Linked DNA regions of Styela clava. Each later gene encodes a partner of the first gene's protein in a complex. Links are inferred from orthologs where the notes say so. Each region holds a gene or a part of one and is shown in the gene's direction. Other genes may lie near its edges. The genes, in order: integrator complex subunit 4-like and integrator complex subunit 11-like.

Region 1 (7,169 bases):
GAACAGTAGCAGCACGTTTTGATTTGGCCATATTTAATACTAAACAAAGCATATAATTTTCAATTATATCAACTATGTAGATGTAACATATTTAAAAACGGTTAAGTATTTCAACTAAATTTACTGGATAATTCATCAAACACTTTTTTCTCTTGGTCATACATCAAAACTGTACGTTCATTAAACTTGGAATTAGTGTGCAAATCTTAAAATGCCAAAAAATGATTTGACGCCCTCTAGTGGATCCTTTTCGGAATTTCGAAAAATTATCGTTTTTGAAAGGGCGATTTCTCAAAAACCTCCAATAAAGGCAGCACTACGACACATTCCGAGAAAAGCAGATACCTTATAGATTCGATTTTAATATGTCAGAACAGTAGCAGCACGTTTTGACTTGGCCATATATAATACCAAACATAGCGTATAATTTTTAATTTTATCAACTATGTAGATGTAACATATTTGAAAACGGTTAGGTATTTCAACTTAATTTACTGGATAATTCATCAAACACTTTTTTCTCTTGGTCATACATCAAAACTGTATGTTCATTAAACTTGGAATAAGACGGCGAATCCTAAAATAACAAAAAATGATTTGACGCCCTCTTGTGTTTTTTTTTTTGAAGTTTTGAAAAAATATCGTTTTTAAAAGGGCGATTTCTCAAAAACCGCCAATAAAGGCAGCACTACAACACATTCGGAGAAAAGAAAATACCATATAGATTCCATTTCATTATGTCAGAACAACAGCAGCACGATTTTACTTGGCCATATATAATACCAAATATAACGTGTATTCACAATTTTATAAACAATGTACACGTAACATATTGTAAAAAGATTTTGTATTTTAACTAAATTTACTGGATAATTCATCAAACATCTTTTTTTTTTGAACGTACATCAATAATGAACGTTCATTAAACTTGGAATAGGTTGGAATAATATAAACTAATTTACGAGCTCTAAGTCAATATTTTCATTAAAATATAAAACCACGAATCGGTTACAAGTAATGATGGATCATTTTAGCCTGTCCCTAGTCAATCGCTGTCATTCCAGAACGCACTTTTTCATTGCAATCAAACTTAAGCTCATCGGAAGACACGATAACGATTAAAACACTTCATCCAAACCTATTTTTTTGAAACACGGCGAGAAACTTACAAATAACTTGCGAAATTGCGAAAGAAGGCAATGTTCACAACCATGCTTGAATGTCTATCTAAGAGAACAAGGTGTATCAGCGAATGTAAAAATAAATGCAAAAAAGAAGGGAAATTTACGATATGTTTGGTATTACGTATGGCAGAGTCAATCGTGCAGCTACTGTTCTAGTACAGTGAAATGGAATTCAAAATGTATTTGTTTTTTTCCGAATGTGTCGTAGTGCTGCCTTTATTGGCGGTTTTCGAGAAATCGCCCTTTTAAAAACGATATTTTTTCAAATTATGAAAAGAATCCACAAGGATGCGTAAAATAATTTTTTGTTGTTTTATACTTTCCGCAACTTATTCCAAGTTCAATTAAAGTACAGTATTGATTTAGGACCAGGAGAAAAATATATTCGATTATTTATCGAGTAAATTTAGTTGAAATACCAAACCGTTTTCAAATATGTTACGTCTGCATTGTTTATAAAAGTTTGAATACACGCTATGTTTGGTATTATATATGGCCAAGTCAAAACGTGCTGCTACAGTTCTGACATAATGGAATCAAATCTATAAGGTATATGCTTTTCTCAGAATGTGTCGTAATGCTGCCTTTATTGGCGGTTTTCAAGAATTCGTCACTCCATAAACGGTATGTTTAGGAAATTGAAAAAAATATATAATAGGGCGTAAGACATTTTATGTGGTTTTATACAATTCACAACTTATTCCAAGTTTAATTAACGTGCAGTATTGATGTATGACCAAGAGAAAAAAGTGTTTGATGAATTACCAGTAAATCTAGTTGAAATACCTAACCGTTTTTGAATATGTTACATCTACATGATTGATAAAATTAAAAATTATACGCTATGTTTGGTATTATTTATGGCCAACTCAAAACGTGCTGCTACTGTTCTGACTTTGAAATTTTGAAAATAATCCACAAAAGGACGTAAAATGCTTTTTGGTATTTTATACTTTCCGCAACTTATTCCAAGTTTAATGAACGTATGGTATATATGTATGTCCAAGAGAAAAAGATGTTTGATAAATTATCTAGAAAATTTATTTGAAATACCAAACCGTTTTTGAATAATGTTAAGTCTGCATTGTTTATAAAAGTTTGAATACACGCTATGTTTGGTATTATATATGGCCAAGTCAAAACGTGCTGCTACTGTTTTGACATAATGAAATCAAATCTATAAGGTATTTGCTTTGCTCCGAATGTGTCGTAGTGCTGCCTTTATTGGCGGTTTTTGAGAAATCGTCCTTTTCAAAAACGATAATTTTTCGAAATTCCGAAAAGAATCCACAAGAGGGCGTCAAATCATTTTTTGGCATTTTAAGATTTGCACACTAATTCCAAGTTTAATGAACGTACAGTTTTGTTGTATACCCAAGAGAAGAAAGTATTTGATGAATTTTCCAGTAAATTTAGTTGAAATACCAAACCGTTTTTAAATATGTCACATCTACAATATTTAATAAAATTGAAAGTATACGCTATGTTTGGAATTATATATGGCCAAGTCAAAACGTGCTGCTACTGTTCTGACATATTAAAATCGAATCTATAAGGTATCTGCTTTTCTCCAAATGTGTCGTAATGCTGCCTCTATTGGCGGTTTTCGAGAAATCGCTATTTCAATAACAATAATTTTTTGAAATTTTGAAAATAATCCACAAAAGGACGTAAAATGCTTTTTGGTATTTTATACTTTCCGCAACTTATTCCAAGTTTAATGAACGTACAATATATATGTATGTCCAAGAAAAAAAGATGTTTGATAATTTATCTAGTAAATTTAGTTGAAATACCAAACGTTTTTTGAATATGTTACGTCTGCATTGTTTATAACTTTTTGAATACACGCTATGTTTGGTATTATATATGGCAAAGTCAAAACATGCTGCTACTGTTCTGACATAATGAAATCAAATCTATAAGATATCTGCTTTTCTCCGAATGTGTCGTAGTGCTGCCTTTATTGGCGGTTTTTGAGAAATCGCCCTTTCAAAAACGATATTTTTTTGAAATTCCGAAAAAAATCCACAAGAGGGCGTAAAATCATTTTTTGTTATTTTTAGATTTGCCACTTATTCCAAGTTTATTGAACGTACAGTTGTGATATATGGCCAAGAGAAAAAAGTATTTGATGAATTATCCAGTAAATTTAGTTGAAATACCAAACCGTTTTTAAATATGTTACATCTACATAGTTAATAAAATTGAAAATTATATGCTATGTTTGGTATCATGTATTGCCAAGTTAAAACGTGCTGCTACTGTTCTGACATATTAAAATCGAATCTATAGGGTATATGCTTTTCTTCGAATGTGTCGTAGTGCTGCCTTTAGTGGCGGTTTTTGAGAAATCGCCCTTTCAAAAACGGTAATTTTGTGAAATTTATTAAAGAATCCACAAGAGGGCGTAATTTTTTTTCGGTATTTCAGACTTTCCTCAACTTATTCTAAGTTTAATGAAGTGCATTATTGTTGTGTGACAAAGAGAAAAATATTTTCTTTGATGAACTATCCAGTAAATTTAGTTGAAATACAAAATCAGTTTCAAATTTGTTATATATACATTGTTTTAAAAATTGAAGAATATACGCTATGTTTAGTATTATATATGGTCAAGTCAAAACGTGCTGAGACTGTTCTGACATATTGAAATCGAATCTTTGGGGTTTCTACTTTTCACCAATGGTGTTGCAATGCTGCCTTTATTGGAGGTTTTCATGAAACGACCATGTTACACGACGAAAATTCAGTCATTTTTAAACATCTCTCAAAGAATTATAAAAAAATTTTGTGCACTGTAACAGTCGCTTTAGCTTGTTTACTATATATTAACAATACGAGGAGTGTAATTAATGATTGTTTTGCTTTAATTGCTATTGTGAAACTAATCAAAATATACACTTTCTTTTAAAAATCATTGGGAACATTTATTTTCACGCGTGGGTATTTTCTGCGATTCTGTCAGTCACAATTTCGTGTTTTGCTGCTAGCTTCACAGAGGTGAAAATTTGTGGTAATCGATCTTGTTCGTTCTGAGTACGGATCGAGAGATTTGTACACATGAAAATGGCGGTTCATCTTAAAAAGAGGGCTTGTGAAGAATTCAGCCATGTTATCCAAAGCGACCTTAGCACACCAAAACGGCTACGTCTAATTAAAAAAAGTTCAAGTGAGTGTTAGGTTAAAACACTGAAAACATGTAAAATATTCCCGTATAAAATTGGATTTTTTTGTTCGGATTTTTCATATGTTTTAAATTAATTTACACATGACGGTAAAATAAATTTAATACCGTACTTCATTCCAGTGCTGGCTAATTGAATATCTATATTGATATATCACCTGTTTGTTTCAGTTCATATTGAAAAACAAACTTAACCATTAACTTCGTCATTTGTTTTTAGATTCAACAGAAAAACAGACAATTGTAAAAGTCAAAGATTCTGACAGCTCAAAAGAAAAACTTCAATCCCTTATTCAGTTCTCAAAAAAGCTTCCAATACCTCCTAATCAGGTACGGCAGAATGTTCTCGAGCTACTAAAACTTTTTGCAAATGAGAAAGATTCATCTGTTCGAACAAAGATTGCTTGGTTGATAGGGAATTTGTGTCAAACAGCAAGATTTAATGCTCTGAGCACACTGAAAAGTATTATTTCACTCCTTAAATCTGAAAAATCGAGCCAAGTATTGTCACAACTTTGGTCTGTTCTCACTAATTGCGCTAAAATTCTCCCGAATGAACGAGAACTACATGAAACCCTTGTTGAACTTGCTTGCAAAACATTGCTTAGCAAAAACCATAAAGTTCGAAGCGAGTGTCTTATACTGATCGGTAACCTCGGAAAAATTGAGAAATCGACTGAACCATGTAGGCCTAGTAGTAAAAGCAATAAAGTGAACATACAAACACTTCTTGGAGATTTCTTTGGAGATCAAGAACCAAGAGTACGATGTAGTGCATTACAAGCAATGATATTGCTCCATCAAAGAAGACAAAACTTAGAACTTCATGTGTATAATCAAGCTTGCTCAGCTCTTTCTGATGACTATGAAGCTGTGAGAGTTGCTGCTTTAAAACTTGTCTGGATAATGAGCAACATATACCCAGAAAGTGAGGTATCTGTTTCAATGTCAGATGAAAAACTACGACTTGTAGATGATGCTTTTGTAAAACTGTGTGACATGGTGAATGACAGTTCATATAAAGTCAGAGCGGCTGCTGCTGGACTTCTAGGTTCCATGCACCTAGTTAGTAATTCATTTCTTTTTCAAACTCTGGACAAAAAATTGATGTCGGATTTAAAAAAGAAAAAATCACTAAACGAAAAAGCAAAAGAGGCATATGTGGGTGAATTCTCTTCTGGTGCTAAATGGGCGGATGATGCTCCCAAAGAAGTAGATACGGAAGCTAACCAGCTTATAATTGGAGGAGCTTGTGGTGCCTTTGTTCACAGCCTCGAAGACGAAATGTTAGAAGTACGAACTGCTGCTGTTGATTCTCTTACAGAGCTTGCATGTCATCGTATCAATTCAAAATTTCCTCAAGCAGCTTTGGATTTTCTTGTTGATTGTCTTAATGATGAAATTGAAGCCGTAAGATTGAATGCAGTCAATTCTTTACATAAGATCATGCAGAATGTTGCTCTTCTTGAAGACCAATTGGAAAACGTATTAGCGGGAATGGAAGATTTCTGTGTTGAAATAAGAGAAGGAATACATTTACTGCTAAGTAATTGTACCTTGACATCAAAATTCTGTCTTAATGATACAATTATGAAGTTGCTCAAAAATCTCAATAAATATCCACAGGACCGAATGTCTATCTGGAAAGCTTATAAACACATAGGGAAGCATCATAGCCAATTGGTGTATTTGCTTGTTCCGCATTTACTATCATGCCATCCTTACTTTGATATGCCTGAACCAAAGATGGACGACCCAGGTTATATTGGCGTTCTTATTCTTGTTTTTAATGCAGCGGAATTATGTCCGAAAATGACGCAAATATTCCCAGAGCATGTTGTAAGGCATTATCAGTATCTTCGTGACAGTATACCTGATTTAGTACCGCAAGAAATTAAACTAACAACTTTTGCAAATGGAGATGAATCGTGTATGAATTCCCCACCTCGACGGTCTGAAGGTGCATCAGATCCTGCAGAATTTTTAAACAAAGCACTACAACGTGTTAAAAATCTACAACTTCATGACAGCAGGACACAAAAAAGCCTTCTCACTTGTACCATCAATGATTTGAAACACATTTCTAACATTGCGCCAAAGCTTTCATCGACTGCTACCAGCTCAGCAAATTTTTTGCAAGCACAACTACTTCTGTCAGAAATAGTTGATACCAGGGCGTGGTCTGGATCTGCATTGGCTTGCACTCAACATTTAGAATCCACAAGACCGGCTGCTAGAAAAATTGAGAGACTAACACAAGAACTAGAGCATTTGTTTCTTGGTCTGAGTACGGACGAAATTGCTCTTCTCAGGCAGATGTGCCTGAAAGCACAATCATTGGAGTTCCTAATGGATATGCAGAACCTAATGAATCAAAAAGATGTGTCAACGTCTTCTCTTTCACTGAGATGCCAGAAATTCTTTAACACTATAAAAGATGTTCATCAGTATTTGGAAACGCACAATCATATACCTGATTCATTTTCAAAAACACTTTTCAACGAAGTCTTAAAGTTGGATCCAACGAAAAAATATTCATTAGTTGTCAAGTTGCTTCAACCATTGTTATTACATTACAGTGTATCTAATGTCACTTTCTCCAACAAAGTTCGGGAGTCAAAGGTCGTAGTTCATACTCCTCTTTCTCGGACAGATTCCAGTATATCCTTTTCAGCAGGATTAACTACTGCTCTAGATGTGGATGCTACTTCAACAAATATCCCAAACCCATTGCGTGATGTGAGAATACAGATTAAATATCCAGATTCAACTGTTCAAATGGTTCTGTTAAAACCACA
Region 2 (7,690 bases), on another chromosome or scaffold:
CTCAACTTCAACTCGTCCAAGTTTAACGCCCGAGTTCACGCTCGTGTATTTTTATTTTTCAAGCTTCACCGCCCGAATTCAACAATTCGCGTATATATACTTTTCTTTCTCACGAATCAACGCCCGAATTCTTTGAATTTGTATCGTATTATCAACTTATATACATACGGTATTAAAAATAATTTTTTCGTGTGTCAAACCGTATATATGGTCAAACGGATCAGAAGATACGCGCTTGAGCCACTGAATTGGAAATACATGGAACGATCTTCTCTCTGGTGTTGCGATGTCGCAGCGCGGGGCAATTTGATCGTCGCCATCTTTGCGTTTATGCTTCCAAAGTTTCAGGTTTTGGCCAGCTTTTCGTCTATTTTACTACCCAGTGCGCTACATATGGATCTATATGCGACCTTTTGTGGGTATTGAAACACGATTATACTCACGTTGGAAATTTATAGTCTGATGTGGATCTCGTTTTTGAAAAAGTTTGGTTGTTTAGGCCATAGGTTCTCAAAGTGCTCCGTACGGAGCCCCAGGGCTCCGCGAGAGAAACCCAGGGGCTCCGCGAGCTATTCGATTACTTTTCAAAATAATGACTAGTTTTGTAGCTGTTCAAAGAAGCAATAACAGCTTTGATAAAATTTGACAACAATATAGCCTCGAAATATGGCAAAGAGGCGGAATTAAAAAATGACATTATTTATAAGCTGGAGCGCAGCCAGGATTCTCAAGAGGTGGGGATTTGCGCGCAACATTCTTTGCGATTATAAAAAACGGATAACGAGATTTCTGTTGCGTAAAATATTCAATGCATGGCCGATGCGAGCATTTAAAGTGTCTTGTCGTAATAATTCAATTGTACTCATAGTTACTCAAGTTTCATTCGAGATTACTATTAGGATTACTAAAATGAAAGAATACTATTCTAAAATAACATAAAAGACGTGATAAACTGCCAACTATAAATAAATTGGAGTCGTATTTTTGCGATCTTGGAATTTGTCAAACTTGATTTGTTCTTTTGCACTCGAGATTATTATTAAGCAAGATATCGCCGTTTAAAAAATCACAAGATCTGGGCAAAATACGATTGAAATTTATTTCAAATGCATGCGGCTCCGTCGGTAGTTTCAGAATAAAAAAAGGTAAATCGCGCACACAATTGACTGTGTTTCGATTTCGCAGTTACTATACGATGAATACCCAAAAGAAAACCTAACATTACACCAAATTTTGTGATTTACAATGCCTATAAAAGCGTTTTTCACATTGAACTCATAATTCCCCACGAGAACAAAAAAGCAATTATCGTCGTCATTGTGGAAAAATACATGTATATGGCGAAGAAAATTTTTGATTTAGGGAGAATAAACACCGGCGTAAAGATGTTTAAAAACATGCCATGCTGACAAAAACTATCGGTGATTGTAACAAAATGCAATCGCGCACGTTATTACGGGCCTTTTTAAGTCTTCCGAAAATGTCAAAAGGGAAAAGATTCGACCCCTAGTTTATTAATATGTTTGTCAAGTGTCAAATTTACAGCTTTAGTAAGAGTATATATAATTTATCTTTGAAATTTCGATTTATTTATGACTTGCATTAACCCCATTAAAAAGGTTTAGCATTTAATTTAAGTTAAGTACTTTTAACTTACTCAGGAATATTTATCGGAAAGCTACAATTTTAACATTTCTTTTGGGGCTCCGCGAATAATAGTCAACCTTTTCAGGGGCTCCGCAACACCAAAAGTTTGAGAACCCCTGGTTTAGGCGATTATACAATAGATATAAGTGGAAACAATTGTTTTTGCCTTATATAATAAAAATGCAATAACCTATAGTCTATAAAGTCTATAGAGTAGGCGAACAATATTAGTTACCTCCATATTGGTACACGCACTTATGGAGCGCTCTTTAGTTATATTTATATGCACGGCTCTGGAACTACGGAACCAGGCCATGCAATGATATTGAGATCGCTACGCAAAATACTTAAGGCAATAAAATAAGGCCAAATACAGGTAAATGGGGGAGCGATTCCGATAAGACATCTTGGCTAATGTTTTGTGGTCGTTTTTGTTCGCTTTTGACTGATACGTTGACCATATTATTAACCCACTACTTTCGCAAATTTATAAAACTTCCAAAATTAGCACCGTATGGTAGGCTAGGGCAGCGTTTCCCAAACTTTTTCGGCCACGGAACACTCACACTTTTCATCTCGTCTCGCGGAACACCGAAAAATGAAAGTGTAAAATTGATAAAGAAAAATGGTGTAAGGCAGCGGTTCCCAAAGGTTGCGCCAGGAGAACTAGTGTTGCTAAATGCGCCGCGAAAACTAACAGAATTGTATTAAACATTAATACAGTATGATTGAATATTTAACATAGCATTTACCATAAATGTTTATTTTTTCCTATTTTAAAAATATATTAATCAATAAATCAGTTATTGGACACGTAGTGGACATAACGATCGTTTCAATATTATGTTGATGTTGTTCTTTGACACGTTTTTAAAAAGTCGCTTTTCTCTTCGAATACTGGACCAATTGCTTTGAAATTTTCAGTGGTTGAAGATAAAATTTTTCTCCAGAAGGCTATTACTTTTTTTTTTGCTATGACGTCATCAAAGTTATTGCCATTGGGTGGCGCTACGTGTCCATATATTTGAGCATAGCTATCTTGTTTAATATGAGCATTTCAAAGTAAAACCAGGCAGAGAGGGAGAAGGAACATTTGACCCTTTTGCCTTTATTCTTTAAGCTTACATGTTTACCTATAGCAAAACCAAAAAGATTGCTGTAAATTTGATAATGAACTTGACAATCAAAAAGCTAGGCCGACGGTTCACGAAAATGGCTCTCCCCTTAAAACGTTAGTCCGCTTCAGGCCGGCGGTGACGCGATATTGAACGGCTTCTTCAGGATCCTGTGATCGCTATGGCGACCAATTTAGTCGTAATTTGTATCGCTTTTCCGCGGAACACTCGGAAGACCCTCGCGTCGCGGAACACTCGGAAGACCCTCGCGTCGCGGAACACTAGTGTTCCGCGGAACACAGTTTGGGAAACGCTGGGCTAGGGTATACTAGCGTTTGATTTAACCGTGAATATATACTACTACGCTTTAACCGCTTTTAACTGTGAATCTTAATGGTGAATTTTGGGGGAGCTGACTCTGATGACCCTAAGTGCGCATCGCTTCCACCAGTCCATACCGAATTAACTTGCATATTTTGTTGTACCAATGCTTGTTTTCTGGTTGACGAAACAATAAATCTCTCTCTCTTTGTAAGAAAAAGACTAAGAGTGAAGTGTAAAGAACTTATCGAAGATTTTTTCCAAAGCATATATTGGGATTTTGAATGCTGCTGAAGTCATACATGGACTACATGTTTACAAACTTTAAAAGACATAAAATACACAACGATGATCACAAAATTGAATTTTATTTGAAAGTAGCAATTTTTTTCTCAGGTTTTCCCTGATAATTTGGCGTTGCATGAACAAAATGTTGGGAACCGCTAAACTAACTAATTTCATACCCTGGACTAGTACCCGTGGAGGCCGTCGAGGATCATATGATTAGGCCGTTTAATCGGTTTTTCTCTCCCGCAGGATAAATATGTGAATAGTATTCTAAGTTTGCAAGCGCCATCTCGAGAAAAGGTATACCAAAAATTTGCCAAAATCTACTAAAATTTGGGTGTCAAAGGTCGAACAGACATCCATTGAAGGAACGGGTGAATCCAATTCACATCATATTGGTAGGCCAAGTTCGGTCGGAGTCTAATGTAGTTTCGTGCCTAACGTACTTCTAGAGGGCGTAGCATACGAATTTTTTTTTTCGTATCAATCCTAACCCCCACCTGAATACGCCATCCAAAAATTAGTCCCAGTTCCCCAACCCATTCAGTTAAAAAAATTTCATTTTCAAAATTATTTTTGGCAATAATAGGCTCTAGTTTGGGCAATGAAGTGGTCTAGCCCACCTCTTCATGCACCCAATTCTGGCAACTTTGGTTGGGCATTTTGGCATTTGACTCCATCTATAATCAGCTTGACAATATATTTTTTTATAAAAGTTTATCTTTACTGTTCACTCCCATTTATAAAATTGATCAATTTGGCAGTGGCAATCATGATAAATTTATTAATATGGTGTGGCAAGTAATTTTTATTTATTTATTTTTTATTAACTACCAGTATGTAATTTTTCATGTTCCCTTTACTTAATAACTTCTATATGGTTGCGTGTAAGCGTGTGTGAAATATTTCAATTATTTTAGGTGAGTGAACACGTACCACATCTTCTTGGCAAAACCTTCCATCTTATATACATTCTGTACGTTTTAAACCTTATCTAAGGTGTTGTTCGCTCTCCTGATTTCATAATCAGTTTTTATTTATTTATTTTTAGCACTCATTTTATTGTTTTGCTGATTATGGAGTCGAAATAAACCCATACTTATACTTATCACTTCAATAGTTTTTTTCATTTTTGTATTTTAATTTCGTAGTCTAGTTGTATGGAAGTGCTAACTTCTGAACTTATTAATTTAACAACTTGAAAAAAGTTTGTATTTCTGTGAGCCCATAATATGCCTCAATCATATGGCAAACCACAACCTTGATGGTGGAGGAAGCCATCAAGTCCACTTGCAGACTTGTACAGTTAGTTATAGCACCTACAGACCTAACATATCAACGTTTTAAATTTGGCAGCTATCCTATGGTTTAATACATTTAGATATGCCTTTTGATAATTGCTGAATTGGTAACGCAGTAATGCCTGACATAAAAGTTGTACCCCTTGGTGCAGGCCAGGATGTTGGCCGCAGTTGCATATTGATATCCCTTGGTGGAAAAAATGTGATGTTAGATTGTGGAATGCACATGGGATTTAACGATGATCGAAGGTTTCCTGACTTTTCATATGTCACTGGTGGAAAGGGACGATTAACCGAGTATATTGACTGCGTTATTATAAGCCATTTTCATTTGGACCACTGTGGTGCATTACCATACATGTCTGAAATGGTTGGCTATGATGGACCAATCTACATGACCCATCCTACAAAAGCAATAGCTCCAATCCTTTTGGAAGACTACAGAAAAATAACTGTTGATAAAAAAGGTGAAGTTAATTTTTTCACCTCACAAATGATCAAAGATTGTATGAAAAAGGTAGTTACGGCAAATCTGCATCAAACCATATATGTTGACGAAGAACTCCAGATTAAGGCGTATTATGCAGGGCATGTATTAGGAGCAGGAATGTTCTACATTCGTGCTGGAACTGAATCTGTTTTATACACAGGAGATTATAATATGACCCCTGATAGGCATCTTGGAGCAGCATGGGTAGATAAATGCCGGCCAACCCTGCTTATTACTGAATCAACGTATGCAACAACTATACGAGATTCGAAACGATGTCGAGAAAGGGATTTTCTGAAGAAAGTGCATGAAACAATTGATAAGGGTGGAAAAGTATTGATCCCTGTTTTTGCTCTTGGAAGAGCACAAGAACTTTGTATTTTACTAGAGTCATACTGGGATCGCATGAATTTGAGAGTTCCAATATATTTTTCAACAGGTTTAACTGAAAAAGCAACAAATTATTACAAGCTTTTCATAACTTGGACAAATCAAAAGATAAAAAGTACTTTTGTGGATAGAAACTTGTTCGATTTCAAACATATCAAGCCATTCAACAGAACACTCATTGAAAATCCAGGTCCCATGGTTGTTTTTGCAACCCCGGGAATGCTCCATAGTGGATTGTCTCTTGAAATTTTTAAAAAATGGTGTACTAGTGACAAAAATACCATCATAATGCCTGGTTATTGTGTTGCAGGTACTGTAGGCCACAAAATCCTTTCTGGTATGAGGAAAATCGAGTTGCAACCTGGTAAGGTGGTTGAAATCAAAATGCAGGTACAATATATGTCGTTTAGTGCACACGCTGATGCTAAAGGGATAATGCAGCTAACTCGTATGTGTGAACCAGAGCATGTGTTGTTGGTTCATGGTGAAGCAAAGAAAATGGAATTTTTAAAAGCAAAAATAAATCATGAATTAGGATTGGAGTGCTTTAATCCAGCAAATGGGGAGACCTGTGTCATCTCATCAAAGCCATGTGTACCAGTTGACATGTCTTTAAAACTCCTCAAACACAAAACTGAAATTGTTGATACTGCAACTCCGAACCCAAAATGTTCTAAAATTATACATGGAGCGTTGCTAATGAAAGACAATAAAATAAGACTTTTAGAACAAGATGAAGCATTACAAGAACTTGGACTGCCAAAACATGATTTACGATTCACATCAACAGTGGAATTACAAAATGCTTGCCGTTCTGAAAAACTAACAATGACTCGATTATATGAACATTTAAAGCAGTTGTTGAGGTCACATTCTGTTAATACCACATCAGATGGACATATATTGATTGAATCAGTTTTACTTAAAGTTCAAAAAGATTCAGAAACAGCTATGGATGTGTCGGATGATTTTAATACCCATGAAGATGACAGTCCAGCAAGTAAATCAATATTGGTTTCATGGCCATATCAAGATGAGGATTTGGGAAGTTATTTAATGGAGGTTTTGAAAAATGGTTTGCCAAAATCAGTGACAAAACTTCCTGTTCACTGACGTACTTGTTCAATCTTTTCACTAAATCAAGACCAAAATCATATGGCCATATTGATATAATTTCAAATACTAGAGAACTTGCATAATCCGAGTTTTTCTTAAAATCAGGTCCATTATTTCACCAGTTTTGTGCATCTCAAGAAGTATTTACAGTTTACACATACATCTGGCTAGTACTCTAGTCAAAGCTAAACTTGAATGAGGCAGTTGCGCCATAATGCAGAATCTGTTGAGCACAATTGTTTTATAGGTTTAGAAAGCTTACTCTATTAACCCTGCTACATCTTGTGTACACACTGCTTTGTGCATATTCCGTGCATTTGTTACTTTCTTTTTTATCAATATAATAAACACAATAATGGGTTGTCAAATCTTTCAAGTGTTCATCCTTTAAAACTTTCTGGGGCAAGCTTGGAGTTGGTTGGGAGCATATTAAAGAACTGATTGGATATCCTGTGATTTAATAATATCAGTACCGGTACCAAGTTTTATGTCACTTTATTTTGGTTCTATCTCATGCGCCGAAAATGTCCAAGTACTGGAAAATCTTTTTATGCTAAACAAAGAATCACTGATCTCCGAGATAAAATAGGCAGCGGTTCTCGACCTTTTTCGATGCATAAATCCTTTGGCCTATTTTCATGCTCATCAGCTTCTGTTACGCGCAAGTAACACTCTTAAGAATAGATGATCATAATGTGTCCGCAATTGCATTGCGATAATACTAAATAAGTCAAATGTTTGCAGCGATACCCGCATTATTTATTTGTTTTATCTACTATTTTATCGTCTGTTATGCTGATTACGCAGTCGAAATAAACTTATACGGTACCTATTATATACAAAGCAAAATGTCTCGAAACAATGAAAGTTTTCTATCCAATCCTCTCACGTTTCACTCATATACGAGGCAAAATATTTTCCCGAAACATTAAAACTCCTCCGATCCAGTCCTCTCACGTTCATTCATATACAAAGCAAAATATCCTCCCGAAACAATGAAACTCCTTCGATCCAATCCTCTC

The links.
Region 2: the proteins of integrator complex subunit 4-like (region 1) and integrator complex subunit 11-like are in contact, whole or in part, in a cryo-EM structure (PDB 7SN8), measured with the Drosophila melanogaster proteins. The link is inferred for Styela clava from reciprocal best matches to the Drosophila melanogaster genes IntS4 and IntS11. Residues at the interface, in NP_572488.1 of Drosophila melanogaster: Arg226, Ser227, Gly228, Gln233, Lys256, Phe259, Tyr260, Asp262, Ser263, Gln264, Lys299, Asp300, Asp301, Cys349, Leu351, Lys380, Lys381, Ile437, Glu441, Glu443, Phe444, Leu445, Glu446, Arg448, Asp471, Phe472, Asp475, Asn478, Glu480, Ile481; in NP_651721.1 of Drosophila melanogaster: Thr182, Pro183, Arg185, Gly188, Ala189, Trp191, Ile192, Asp193, Lys194, Arg196, Ile210, Arg211, Asp212, Ser213, Lys214, Arg215, Arg258, Asn287, Gln288, Lys289, Lys292, Thr293, Met299, Gln400, Asn404, Asn469, Ala470, Pro472, Pro473, Pro475.

Annotation. Positions count from the first base shown.
Region 1 is NC_135259.1:15,385,270-15,392,438, forward strand, and holds the start of integrator complex subunit 4-like, read left to right. Parts: upstream 1-4,168; 5' UTR 4,169-4,247; coding exon 4,248-4,356; intron 4,357-4,591; coding exon 4,592-7,169. UniProt on the Drosophila melanogaster protein: Component of the integrator complex, a multiprotein complex that terminates RNA polymerase II (Pol II) transcription in the promoter-proximal region of genes.
Region 2 is NC_135252.1:16,275,121-16,282,810, reverse strand, and holds integrator complex subunit 11-like, read left to right. Parts: upstream 1-4,708; 5' UTR 4,709-4,790; coding exon 4,791-6,665; 3' UTR 6,666-7,020; downstream 7,021-7,690. UniProt on the Drosophila melanogaster protein: RNA endonuclease component of the integrator complex, a multiprotein complex that terminates RNA polymerase II (Pol II) transcription in the promoter-proximal region of genes.